Linked DNA regions of Struthio camelus. The protein of the gene in region 2 interacts with the protein of the main gene of each other region in a pairwise test. Links are inferred from orthologs where the notes say so. Each region holds a gene or a part of one and is shown on either strand. Other genes may lie near its edges.

The links.
Region 1: the proteins of LNX1 (region 2) and CDA interact in binary tests that used the Homo sapiens proteins (3 or more experiments, as listed by UniProt). The two-hybrid records come from large-scale screens. The link is inferred for Struthio camelus from reciprocal best matches to the Homo sapiens genes LNX1 and CDA.

Annotation. Positions count from the first base shown.
Region 1 is NC_090962.1:12,711,705-12,717,490, reverse strand, and holds CDA (cytidine deaminase), read left to right. Parts: upstream 1-4,066; 5' UTR 4,067-4,375; coding exon 4,376-4,523; exon of another isoform or gene 4,524-4,663; coding exon 4,664-4,775; exon of another isoform or gene 4,776-4,946; coding exon 4,947-5,133; 3' UTR 5,134-5,152; downstream 5,153-5,786. Other genes in the region: protein FAM43B, read right to left, coding at 243-1,139. UniProt on the Homo sapiens protein: This enzyme scavenges exogenous and endogenous cytidine and 2'-deoxycytidine for UMP synthesis.
Region 2 is NC_090945.1:57,111,278-57,119,165, reverse strand, and holds the start of LNX1 (E3 ubiquitin-protein ligase LNX), read right to left. Parts: upstream 3,082-7,888; 5' UTR 2,839-3,081; intron 1-2,838.

The sequences.
Region 1 (5,786 bases), on a different chromosome or scaffold from region 2:
CCCACCCCCAGGGCTTTGGGGCGGGGGGGTTCAACCCTATCCCACCCCCCAGGGCCTTTGGAGGGGGGGGTTCAACCCCATCCCACCCCCCAGGGTCTTTGGGGGGGGGTTCAACCCCATCCCACCCCCAGGGCCTTTGGAGGGGGGGGTTCAACCCCATCCCACCCCCCCAGGGCCTTAGAGAGGGGGGTTTCAACCCCATCCCACCCCCAGGGCCTTTGGGGGGGGGGTTCAGCGGGCGCTCAGCACCCCGGCGGCAGGGCGCCCCGCAGGCTGCAGCCCCGCAGCTCGCCGGCCAGCCGCAGCACGTCGGCCCGCCGCCGGCCCGAGCCTTCCTCCTCCTCGCCCTCCTCCTCCTCCTCCTCCTCCTCCTCCTCCTCCTCCAGGATGGAGCCGAGGCCGGGGGCGCCGCGGCCCCGCTCGGCCGCCGGCGGGCCGTAGGGACGGGGCGCCTTGAGGAGGCGCCGCAGCGGGGCCGGGGGCACGGCGGCGGCCCCCAGGCGCTGCTGCCGCCCGTGCCGCCCGTCGCTCTGCCGCTGCAGCCGCCCGAACTCGGCCAGGGCGCCCGCCGCCGCCTGAGCCAGCAGGCGAGCCACGGCGCCCGCCACCCCGGCCTCGGGCGCCAGCGCCGCGTGGCAGCGCAGCGCCACCGCCTTGTTCTTCGCCCGGTGCCGGTAGACCCAGGCGAAGAGGTCGGGCCGGCGAGCGTCGGCGGCGCAGTGGGTGATGCGGCGCAGCAGGTAGCACTGGCCCGGGCGCCGGGCGCCGGCTTCGCAGGGCGTCAGGCGGATGCCGTGCGGCCCCAGCGTCAGCCGCATCTTGGCGCCGCCGCCGCTCTTGGCCCAGATCTTGCCCACGGCCTCGTCGGTGCAGCCCTCGCCCTTGGCCCGCAGCGTGGCCGCGTGGCCCAGGTAGCGCACGGTGTACGTGGGCGCCTCCCGGCTGAGCTCCGCCGTCCGGCGCTTGCCCCCGAAGAGGCGGCCCAGGCGCCGCAGCGGGCACTCGGCCAGCGCGCCGGGCCAGGCGCGCGCCAGGGCGGCCAGCAGCGAGCCGTAGCCCAGCCCCGGGCCCAAGCTCTTCCCCTTGCCCTCGCGCTCCTCTTCCACCAGCACGAACTTGCTGCGGCGCCAGGGCAGCATCGCGGCTGCGCCGAGGGCTCCTCTGCCGCCCGCGGGGCTCGGCGTTTCCGCCTCACCGCAGTCCTCCCGCGGGTCTCACCGTTCCCGCACCGCCGCGATGCTCCCGCGGGTCTCACCGTTCCCGCACCGCCGCGATGCTCCCGCGGGTCTCACTGTTCCCACGCCGCTGTGATGCTCCCACGGGTCTCACCGTTCCCGCACCGCCGCGATGCTCCCGCGGGTCTCACTGTTCCCGCACCGTCGCGATGCTCCCGCGGGTCTCACCGTTCCCGCACCGCCGCGATGCTCCCGCGGGTCTCACTGTTCCCGCACTGCCGCGATGCTCCCACGGGTCTCACTGTTCCCGCATTGCTGTGATGCTCCCGCGGGTCTCACCGTTCCCGCACCGCCGCGATGCTCCCGCGGGTCTCACTGTTCCCGCACTGCCGCGATGCTCCCACGGGTCTCACTGTTCCCGCACTGCCGCGATGCTCCCGCGGGTCTCACTGTTCCCGCACCGCCGCGATGCTCCCGCGGGTCTCACCGTTCCCGCACCGCCGCGATGCTCCCACGGGTCTCACTGTTCCCGCACCGCCGCGATGCTCCCGCGGGTCTCACCGTTCCCGCACCGCCGCGATGCTCCCGCGGGTCTCACCGTTCCCACACCGCCGCGATGCTCCCGCGGGTCTCACCGTTCCCGCACCGCCGCGATGCTCCCGCGGGTCTCACCGTTCCCACACCGCCGCGATGCTCCCGCGGGTCTCACCGTTCCCGCACCGCCGCGATGCTCCCGCGGGTCTCACCGTTCCCACGCCGCCGCGATGCTCCCGCGGGTCTCACTGTTCCCGCACCGCCGCGATGCTCCCGTGGGTCTCACCGTTCCCACGCCGCTGTGATGCTCCCGCGGCCGAGCTGCCCCTCCGCCCCGCTCCGCTTTGGGAGGCTGACCTGCCGCGGAGGGGTCCCCCGGCGGTGCCGCCCCCCCGCTGCCGGCTCCCTACCCCAGCGCGGCGGGAGGCGGATGCTGCGGCAGGATGCCGCTGGCCTCGGCGCGGGGGGATGCGGAGCCGCTGAGCTGCCGCAGAGGAGCCGGCGGCGGAGCGAGGCGCAGCCGCTCGCCTGCCCGCTCCTGCTGCGTGAGCGGCGGCAGCGGGGACTCAGCCCTCCGTGGGCTGCTCCACCTCCCCGGGACGCGGCATCAGGCAGCGCGCGGGGAGCCCTCGGCAAACGTTAGCCACGCCGGCAAGCCCGCCGAGCGGAGCCCCCCCCCCCCCTGCTCCCCGCAGGGGAAATTAAGGGCGGAGTGAGGTGGCAGTGATTTTTTTCCCCCCCTTTTCCCCGAAGGCTCGGACCACGGCAGCTGCTCGCCCCGCACAGCCCTAGCGCCAGCGACGAGGCTTTCTCTTCAAATCGGGGCGCTCCTCGAGGCGTTTGCTGCCGGCCGCCCCCGGCGGCGCTCGCGTCGGCCCGGCTTGCAAACGCTGCTGCCTTCTCGCAGGTGGTTTTCACTCAGTTCCCCCCCACCCCCGTTTTTTTTTGTTTTTTTTTGCCATATTTGCAGGCCTTCAAGGATGCCCCTCTTGGGTGGAAATTTTAGCTTTTAGCCTCCTGCCGAATCCGAGGCTTGCTCCGGCGTCGGCTCCGCCGCCGAGCCGCCCAGGGAGACCCCCGTCGGCGCAGCGAACGCGCCCCTCCTCGGCGGTTCTTCGCCCCGGCGCTCCACGCCGCTGCGCGTGCTGCAAACCCGACGGCGGCGGACAACCCCTCCTCTCTCCGACGACCTCGAGCCGGCGCTGGTGCAGCGCAGCTCCGCAGCACTGGCAACCAAAATAATAAAAGATGCAAGCCTTTCTTTCGATCTCTTTATTCGGTTGTGTTTTGGTTTTGTTTTCCAGCAAAGGACGCGGTTTGCTCTGTGCTGCTTTGCTTCCCGGCTCTCAGCGTAAAGGATGGTTTCAGGGACAGGATTTCTAGGGCAAGAATGCAGATTTGGGGGTTTGGGGGTGTTTGTCAGCCCGGTTATTTATAGCTCCTGCGTTATTCAGGTCCCGCTGTCAATGCGGCGAGCGTCGGGGATCGCTGCCGGCTCGGCTTCTCCGGGGACCTGGCGTTTGCTTCCTCCCTCGTTTTCCTGCCCTGCTCCTCTGAGCCGATTATTTCCCTCACAAACAGGCTTTCTGGAGCTGCGAGGGCACCGAGCAGCGCCGAACTGGAGCGAGAGCTGCCGGCCCCGGCGTTGGGGGTCGCTCCCCGCAGCGGCCGCAGTTTACCCCTCTCGACTGCAATATGCCCCCTGCAACCGCGATACATCCCCTGCAGCTGCAATATTCCCCCCGCAGCTGCAATTTGCCCTTCGCAGCTGCAATTTATCCCCTGCAGCTGCACTTTACCCCCTGCAATCGCACTTTACCCCCTGCACCGGCAATTCGCTCCCGCGCTGCGCCTTGGCAGCCCTAAAGCTCTGGCGGGTGATATAACATGTTGCATGAGGAAGGTGGTTTGTCCGACTCTCCCCGCATCCCAGGCAGGGAAAACCGGAGCTCCTAAAAGCTTGGGACTTCCCCGCGCTTAAATCAGCGGGCGAGCACGCAGCCGGCGTCGAGCGCGTGGAGTTTGTGGCATTTCTTCCAGCGGCTCAGCTTCGATTTCTTCGCTAAAGAAAGCTCCCGGCTTTTAAATCGCCTATTTTCCATCGGCCTTGCAGGCGGCAGCATATTCTTCCCGCGCCCCCCCGCCTCAGGCAGATGCCGAAATCTCAGTGCAAAAACACGTTTTCAATCCGGATCTTCAACGTGGAATTTTAACTCTTCATTACAAGGCCCGGAAAAGCTGATTTCTCTTGCTTTTTCCCTGCTTTCAACCGTATCGTCTTATCTCGCTGCCGAGGAACCGGTGTTTTCCCTCCCGAGTACATTTTACGACGTTTTCCCATTGAGTCATAAAACAGCTTTGCTGCCGGGGAGAAAAAAAAAAAGAAAGCAGTGATGGAAAATATTCTGCCGATCCCATCGGGACGGCGCCGGAGCCTTTAGAAACGCGGGGCCTAAAGAGAGGGAGGGGGGAAAAGAAAAAAGAAAGGGAAATAAGCGGCGCAGGGGGGAAAACGAGGGGCGGAAGGGCCGGGTCTCGGCGGCGTTCGCGCGGTCTCGGCCCCGTTTCCCACGCCCGCGGGGGCGTCCTCCGGGCTCGGCCCCGCGGCGGGGGAGGACGAGGGCCACGCCGCCGGGGAAATATTTAACCGCAGGGCCGGCGGAGCGATGGAGCGGGGCTCCTCGCCGGAGGCCGAGCGCCTCCGGGCGCTGCTGCTGCAGCGCAGCCGGGAGGCCAAGGCGGCCGCCTACTGCCCCTACAGCCGCTTCCCCGTGGGCGCCGCGCTCCTCACCGCCAGCGGCCACGTCTTCTCCGGTAAGCGCCCCGCCTGTAGCTTTGGGCCAACAGCCGGGAAACATCCGCCAGGGTGAACGGCGAAGTGGGTGGGTGGGGGGTCCGCGTCCTCTCGGGGGCTGGCAGCAGCCCCGGGGTGACGGCGCGCGCCCTTCCCCTAGGCTGCAATGTGGAAAACGCCTGCCACAGCCTGGGGGTGTGCGCCGAGCGCACAGCCATCCAGAAAGCCGTCTCCGAGGGTCACACCAGCTTCAAGGCCATGGCCATCGCCAGGTGAGGCGCCGCGCGGCGGGTTCGCCTGGTCGAGGGCAGCAAGGAGGTGGCGGCGGGGGGACACAAACAAGGAGGGGGCTGCCCGAAAGAGCGTTTCTTCAGGTGCCTTCGCCCCCCCCCCCCCGGGGGGTTCGCCGGCCGCCCTCAGCTTTGCCTCCTCTTCTCCGGCAGCGACCTCGAGGGCGACTTCATCGTGCCCTGCGGCGCCTGCAGACAAGTCATGCGGGAGGTAAAGGGCTTTTTTCTCCCCCCTCTTCGCTCCCCGGCTCGGCCCTTCCCGGTGTCCCCCCCCACCCCCCACACGCCGGCCCGCGGGAAGACTCTTGGCGGGATTCCCGCGGCGCCGGGCGCCCGTTGATCCTCTTCTCGCCCCGCAGTTCGGCCGGGACTGGGACGTGTACCTCACCAAACCCGACGGCACCTACGTCGTCAAGAGCCTGGAGGAGCTTTTGCCGCTCTCCTTCGGGCCGGAGGACCTGAGGAAGCTGTGATTTTGGGGAGGGGGCGGGAGGCCGAAGGGCGCCTGCGGGTAACGCGACGGGAGCCGAGGGCCGAGGCGGCGGAGGCCGGTCAGCCGCGGTGTCGCGGAAGGTGTAAAACGCGCCGAATAACACAAAACCCGCCACGCCGGCGGGGCGGGGGGGAAAAAAAAAAGGGCTGGGTCCTTCGGTTGTGGAGGGAGGGAAGGCGAAAGGGGAGCGCTCCGCCGGCGCTGCCGGGCGGGCGGCCTGCGGCCCCACCGCGGCCTCCGCGTCTTCCTCTCAGGGGCCTGAACCGGGGGGGGGGGGGGGGGTCACCGTTCCCGGGCCAACGGCAGCTCGGCGGCAGAACCGTTGATTAAATAACGCGCGGTGGTGGTGGGGGGGGGAAAAAACCCGGAAAAAACCCGAAAAAACCGAATAAAAGGGGAGGGGGGGGGCGGTGTTAAGGGTGTAACCGTCGCCCGGCGGGGGCGCGCGGGGTGACGTCAGCGCGCGCGCGGGAGGGGGCGGCGCGCGCGGGGTGACGTCA
Region 2 (7,888 bases):
CCAGCATGGCAGGCAGGAAGGAGTTTGACAGAACAGGGAGATCCTTAGCCTGTCCTGGCCTTCAGCAGCTCCCAGTGCCTCTCCCTGCACCAGGAGGTGTCACGAGGCGCTAGACAGACAGTCATCCTCTTCTGCTGTGGCCCTCTCAGCTGCCGGGGGGGGGGGGGGGGGTCTCCTCCCACTGCTGGGCACCAGCAGTGCCCGCCTCTGAGGTGGGATGGGCAGTTGAGCTTCCCAGCCCTCACCACCGCCACAGCTCCAGGCTGCAAGCCCAGCTCACCTTGACCAAAGTGGAGTAGGAAATGGCCACGGAGCAGCTTGGGAAGCAGATGTTACCTCCAGCAGGCAGACGGGCAGCCAAGACCTTTCCAGCTGGTGCAGGGGGGAGCAGGAGAGACACGCATGGCCAGGGAATGAGCTTCAGGTAGCTCCAGCAAGAAGAGCGTGATGGAGAAAAACCTGGCAGCAAGCCCTGTGTGGTTCCCAGGATGGATGCCAGAAATGCCAGGTTTCCCTTGCTGATTTCTACATTGCAACTGCTCGTCGCCAACAACAAACCCTGCAGCATTCAATAATTTAAGCTTTTAAACTCCCATATGGAGATGGGGAAAGGGAGAGGAGAAGAGGAGGGGGGTTCTGAGGACAGCCCAACTTTGTTCTGAGCTTGCTGAAGCATATTTTGGGATTAACATGCTGCACGAGACACAGAGCCTTGACCACAAACCAGCTAAAAGCCCTTTAACAGATTTTACAAAGGGAGTGGTCTGGGAAAGTTTTAGAATGACAAAATGATGAAACTTTCTCCGGGAGCTGGAAAATACCAAAATATATGTATACTGTGTATTGAGAGTATGATTGTTGGTTGTGACTCATTAGCCACATTAGTTTCTATTACCTAGAATCTTCCATGAAATGTGTGTAGAGAGAAACATGGAAAGTTATCAACAAAAACTTATTTTCTATGTATTTTTTTCCTATCTTCTTCAGTCTTTTTGTTTTGGGTTCCATGCACACAACTGTACTAATCAAATGGAAATACTTCCAGTTTTTAGGACTAAAGCTGGAAAAAAAGTTACATTTTCCTGCAAAATTTTCATGTGAATTTTCTGCGTGTGAAATTTTCACATCTAAAATTTTTTTTGCCATTGGTGCGTGTGTATGTGTGTGAGTGTGTACATACTCCCTAGGAATATTCTAGTGGAAACATTTGAGTGCTGATCAGTTTACCTAGTTAACCAGAGCTGGGCACTTAAGGTTTTGTACTTGCAAATGATCTTCACAACAACACAAGCTTTTGGCTAACTAAGGGCCATCTAACCTAGAAAGAAAAATCTGTTCAAGTAGCCAACAGCAAAAAGGTAAAATGCTGAGAATGAAATATTTGCAAATGGTCCAGAGCTGAGAATTGTTCCCCTAAGAAATTTTGAAGAAATGTCAAATAATGAATCTGTTAAGTGCTTGCATTTTGCACTTTCAGGAAGTAAAATTAATCAGACTGCTAATTACAGTCATTTGCCTCACTGTAGTTAGGATCTTCACACGTGGGCTAGAAGCCATCTACTACAATGTCTAAAGGCCTTCTGGAGGATTAAAGTTAGGACAGGAAAGCACAGCTTTGTTTAGTTTTGTCTGCTTTTGTTGTGTGTGAATTTAATTTGCCTCTGCATTTTTCCTGATTATTTTACTTGGATGTGGTTTTTTTACTACTAGATTGTGGGGCTTTTTTTGCTCTCCTTAAGATAGTATCTTAAGTAGCACCCACTGTCAAGAAACCTCTGTGTCCCGTTGCACGAACATCCTACACTCTTGCATTTAAGGACTTGTTTAGTTCTAATGGAAATCATTTGCTTTGGGTGGTCCTCACTGCATACACTAATTTCCATCCAGCACTCTATAGGAAGCCAAGTGAACCCCAGTAAAACGCGCTCTCGGAAGCCAGCTCTGCCAAGCAAGCACGTTGCTGTGTTTGAACTAGAGTTTTGTTAAGATGAGCAGTTTGATTTATGGGCATATTGCTAGACATATTCCTGCAAGTCATAGATTGCTATCAGTAAACCCTAACCCATCAAGAAGGAGTGCAGTCTGCCAGGATATCATGCACAGAAGAACTATCTCATAGGGTCATGCTGTTTAGGCACCAAGAAATAACGAGGAGCCCACACAAAGCCAAATGGTTTGGAACATTTTGATAAAACAAATGCCAGAGCTCTTAACAGAGGGAAGTTGAGGTTCTCCAAAATAGTTTTCTTCCTCCCTAGCATTATTTTCAGTCTTATCTGGCTCAGATTCAGTAACTGATTTTCATCCAGTTACTATTTTAACTGGGCCCTGGAGACCTTCTCAGGCATCTTAGTTATTTTTAAATCCCCTGTGAAGGTAATGTAGAACTGAAGTACCGTAGGCATATTGCATACTGTCTATGCTTCAAATCTCTCCTGTACCACAGATGTTGAACTGGGCAGGAGAAAAGGTGGCTGCCTATGTAAACGTGCTGGATGTCAACAAGCCAGTTGCCATCAAAGCGCTGAGAGGAACGGCTGACGTTATTGCAGCATTATCTCACTAATCAGCCAGCCCACGAGAACATGGGCTGTGTGGGATTCACCAGCACACAGCTCTGAGGAGGTTTTCAGAAAAATCAAACTGGGCTTAGCCAATTCAGCAAGAAAATATAGAAAGTTTTCAGCAGTGGGAAGCCTTTCTTAAAATACTGAAGTTCTGAAAATTGGAAATGTCCATACATGATAGTGCTGAGTACCACACAATAATTACTAAAAATGTCATAGTGAAAATTCATCAGTTCCTATTTTGAGCTCTGTGCAGTGCTGAAACACTTACCCCTCCTTGTGGATCTGATGTAGGTATCTGTATGTTCTCACCGTGGTATCTGTCACCGGCAGTCTCTTGCTCTGTTGTACATACTGCTCTCCCCCCAGACAAAAAAAGGAAGCCATACCACCAGATATGGTCCCACCAGCTTGTCCAGCGAAGTAGAAGTGACCTTGTAGTTTTCTTCTGTTGCTGCCACTATGGAAAATATTAGTACCAGAACTGAAGCCACACTCACCCATTCTTCATTTCTGATTTCTCTTCTCTGAGCAGATAAGAATGACCTAGGGCCTCGGAGTGTGTTTTACATCAAAGACTGATGAAGAGTCCTGACAGCCTTGATGTCAGTGTTGTAAATAAACCATTAATCACACTGCCATTCCAGGGAACAACCTTTTCCCAAAGGGCATGAACCTTCTTCAGGCCACTAATATAAACCACATCTCCTCTAATCCAGTGGGGTAGTGGTAATGTCAGGGCTTTCAAGGTGGGCTGACTCTGTGTGAGGGGGATACTCCATTACTCTCATTTTAAAGCATAGGTCATTGCTATGGTTCCACTGGATTATAAATGGTCAATCAACAGAGAAGCAGTTACAGTGAATTAAATAAAGTGTATTACATTTGGAACTACAGAGGCAAATAGAAGGAGTAGAAGGCTCAGTGTCCTGTTAAAACTTTTTGCTTTAGAGTCAGGCACTGTATGTAAACCTAATGTGGAAGTATAAGAGAAACAATAGGTTCAGTGATCTGGCAAGTAACCAGAACAATGTGGTTATAGTAAACACTGCAGAGCCTAACACAGTGAATAAAAATGTGTCTATTATTAAAGGAGAACTTGATTTTTAAATGAATCCCAGGCCACTGCCTTGCCAGAAGTATTCTGAATATTATTACACACTACGGAGGGCTATAACTGACTCTTCAATTTGATCATCAGTGGAAATAAATTATTATTTATGTATACTTTTAAATATATTTTTGTTATATATACTTATATATACATATATATTAAAAAACCACCATATTTAGCATGATTTGGAAATACAGCTAAAAACAAAGTTGGTTCAGTCTGTGCTCCATAGCTGAACTGTTCAACCATCATAACTGCATTGCAAGCAGAAATCTGGTCTTCTGAAAGTGTAGCTTTTGCAATGGGAATTGCCTCATTCAGTATGGTCCTCTGTACCTCCCAGTGAAAAACAGCATAAAGGAGACGGTGGAAGTACAGCAAGGCTGGTTGCATCTTCCCGGCATTGGAGACTCCAGAGGGCCAGTGGTGAGTGCCAAAAGTTAATTCAAGGTAGCCCTAAATCAGGGAGATGGGGACTACTCTAAATCATGCCTTGAATTCCTGTCCTATGGTACACAGTGCTTAAAAAACACAAATTTTTTTTGATAAATTACAAAAAAAAATGGCCCCAAGAGCACGCTTGCCAGCTGGCCGTGGCCATTTTCACACACTGCCTCCACACCACAGCCTGGCATGGAGACTGCTAACGTAGCTTTCTGTTACCAGAGAAACCCCCCACTTTTCCTCCTGAGACTGAGTCTCTGGTTTAAGGCTGCTCAGTGTGGTTTATGCATTCAGTCCAGACAGCACAGTTTTGAAATTATGCTTATAAAAACGCTCCCGAGCAGAGAAGGTGACGGGTGGCTGTAAGCTGCTCTAACTTGTGTCTGTGGTCCTCTGGGAATGACCTCTGCTACACACACTGACAGGGGTTCATGTCGTCATCCAGACCTTAATCTACTTCACTGACGGTGCTAGTTTTAGGTCTTACAAGTGAAATGTAATATCCCACAGTTTGACTTTGCTAAGTACTCTGAAGTCAGACACTTCTGCTAACTCAAGTGGGCACTGAACTGAATCTGTATAAACAAGGCTACTGTCCAAGCGCAGACTCCTTACCAAGCACATTGCTCGCTGATCCATCCTGCACTACTTGCCAGGTACCACAAGCCAAGGTCTCATCTGTTCCACAAATACAGCTAATAAACTATTAAATCACAACTCTGCTGTGCTGGTTCTATTTAAAACACAGTTAGGACCAGGCCCACGGCCCTGCTAAAGCTGCGGGTGACCAGCAGTAGCCTTATAACCAAAGAAAACAGGGCGCGTAGGGGTGAGCGTGTTTGCATAAGCTTGACTGTAAAAGCCTGACTCCCTTGCCTGATGCTTTAACCAGAACCAGAAGATGATCCTGCTGATTTGGAATGGGGTTTTTGAAGAGAAAAATGAACTAAAGAAATGTTCTTCTCCATTGAGGCACAGACCAGCTGTGGAGGCCAAAATGCTGCTACTTAAAAATGTCTTTTGCAGACAAAGGGTCAGGATTTTCTAAGCTGGCCAAAGAATCACTTGCTATAACCACACTTTGGTCAGGATTCAACAACTAGATTCATGCCCAACAACCAGATTCATGACTTGGGCCTCCCACAGACATCCTTGGGGAAAGGGGGACTAGGTATGCCTCCTTTGACTTACATCAACAGAAGCTCAGCTGCGGTTTTCTAAGTCTCATGTCATGTTCTGCATGCTTTTGTGTTCAATACAATATTTATTTCAATTTAAAATCACAATTTTCTTTAAAATGCTTACTTCAAGGCTTTTCTGTGCACCAGCAATATCATATTTTGAGCTTGAACTTAATGTACAGGCCTACCTCCACTTCAGAAAAAATTATTTCTAAAAAGTCATAAATATCACTTTGATCCTTTTAAAGCAATGACAGTAAGTTGAATTACGGGCACAAAATATTGGATCTTTTCTATTTATAATTTCTTAAGGAATCTTTGAGTTGAAGAATGTAGTCCATAAAATAATGAAAGAAAATCTATACTTAAGATATATTGCTTCTAATCAAGCGACTAGAAGGCTTGAACTGAATTTATACTAAGTAAAAATACCTAACTGAGGTTCCCAATGTACAAGTTAACGCTATTCTGACAGCCAGGGACAGTGAAAGAGGATTAGCTCTGTCACTTTCTATATTTGACAGAAAAAAAAGTTTTGAAACATACATTTGAGCCAGACAGAAGATACCCAGGAGGTCTCAAGAAGTAGAGGTGTGCACACCTTAGTACTTCTACTGAACCAGACTGAGGTTTATGCAGGCATTTCCATAGTCGCCAACTAATTAAACCAATCTATTGGTAAAAAGGGATCCAGGAACTACACGTGTGGACTATGCGCAGCTGGACTCAGCCACAGCCTGGTTTCTCTCTTGCCACATCACTGCACGGACTGCCTGTGCCGCGTTTCCATCCGCACCACTCTGCTAAGGTTCACAGGCCGTGCTACCACCCCTCCCTTACCATGCCGCAGCTTTTTGCTTCCCAGGATCCTGCCACCACTTTTCAGAGAGGTGCCAGTGTGGGTCTGCGAGAAAGGGGTGGCCAAGGGACTTCCACTGGGTCTGCTGCTCCGAGACACTCCTGCCCATCCGTCTGGACTGCTCGGCCTCAGTAATGCATCGTAAGCCTGCCTGGAGCCGGCCAGGCAAGGGAAGTGCCTGCAATTCCCTGCTCCCTTTTACTGCTCCCTCCCCTGAAGACAGTGCAACAATTAGGCATAGGAAAAACAGGCAGCAGGACCTACTGCTGACCTCCCGCTGCTACCAGCAGCCCGCTGCTCCCTGCACCGTGTCTAAACCAGCCCTGACAACACACTCATCTTTCCTTTCCAAGGTGCCATGCGGGGTCCGGAGCCCTGAAATAGCCAAAAATTTCAGGGGCTATTTCAGATGATTCAGGTGTCGGTGGTCACCAGCAAGGCTCCGCAGCTCCTACCAGCGAAGAGAACGGTGAATGCCTGTAAACAAATGAATATTTTTTAGTGTTAACTCTAGCTGCCTCCGTCTGGTGTGTATTCTACAGTGTGTCAGGAAAGGGTTTTTTTCCTAAACAAGAGGAAAACTAAATACAAGTAATTAATTTTGGTGCCGTTAAAACATAACAGACATCTGTTTTGTAGCGGTGGAAAGGAGACTTAGCATTAAGTACAGTTCATATTACCTCATGAAAAGGACATGGTACAAGACATGCAAACGTGTTTCTCAAAATTACAATCTAATGCGATTTGGCGAATCTACCTTCTGCAAAAAGTAGTCAAACACTTCTCTTTAAGGTATATCAGTAGGGTAAAGCCTCACTTGCAGGTACACAGGATTAAAGCCCAAGTCTGTAAAACTTCAGGGGTACAAAAGAAGAATTTGAACATGATTACTGAGGGTTTTCTGATGTTTGCAAATGTAACACAGTCCTTTAACTTTACTGACAGACGTAACTGTTCCAGGAATCAGAAACTGCTACTGTATTATTAGTAAATAAAAACCTCTTGAAAATGCCTAAAAGCAAAATGCAACCGTTTTCTGTACCATGGTATGTTAGCAGAAACAGCAATCATTCCTTTCAAACGGGACCTTTGTTAGCTGAAACACGGACCCTCTCCTTGCAACTCTCTCTTTCTCATGCAGCTCTACATTTTATATTCAAGAATGAACCTATTTAAAATTAATTAAGTCACTTTTTTGCATCTATTTCTGTAAGTGCTGCTGGCCATTGCATTGTTGTAACACACCATCAGGGAAACGGCCAGCAGGAACAAGAGTTCTGCAAACTGACAAGACAAGCAACTTTTATTAAATGCTAACTGTCAACTTTTGTTCTTTAGATAAATGCTTTGAGTTAGGAGGGTCAGAGAGAGGGAGAAGGTGTCAGCAGACATATTGGAAGGCCTCTGGGACTTTTCAGAAGATTTATAAGTTGACTTTTGTTTAACTGTTTGGTTTTTAAGGATTTTGGTTTCTTTGAGGTACTCCAACCAGAGCTGACATACCTTCTAATTTTGCTGTATGCTGACTGTGCAAGTTTAATAAAAACACTGCAAATTTTCACTGTTCTCAGTGATTTAGCAGGAAACCTCAATAATCTTATAGGTAAAATGACCTAGAAGTAGCCTTTGATCTGCAGCCCATGCATGCATCATGAGAACACAGAAACAAAGTTAGTGCCAAGTGCTGCGACAAATAGACATGGTTTTTTGAGTCACCAGGCTG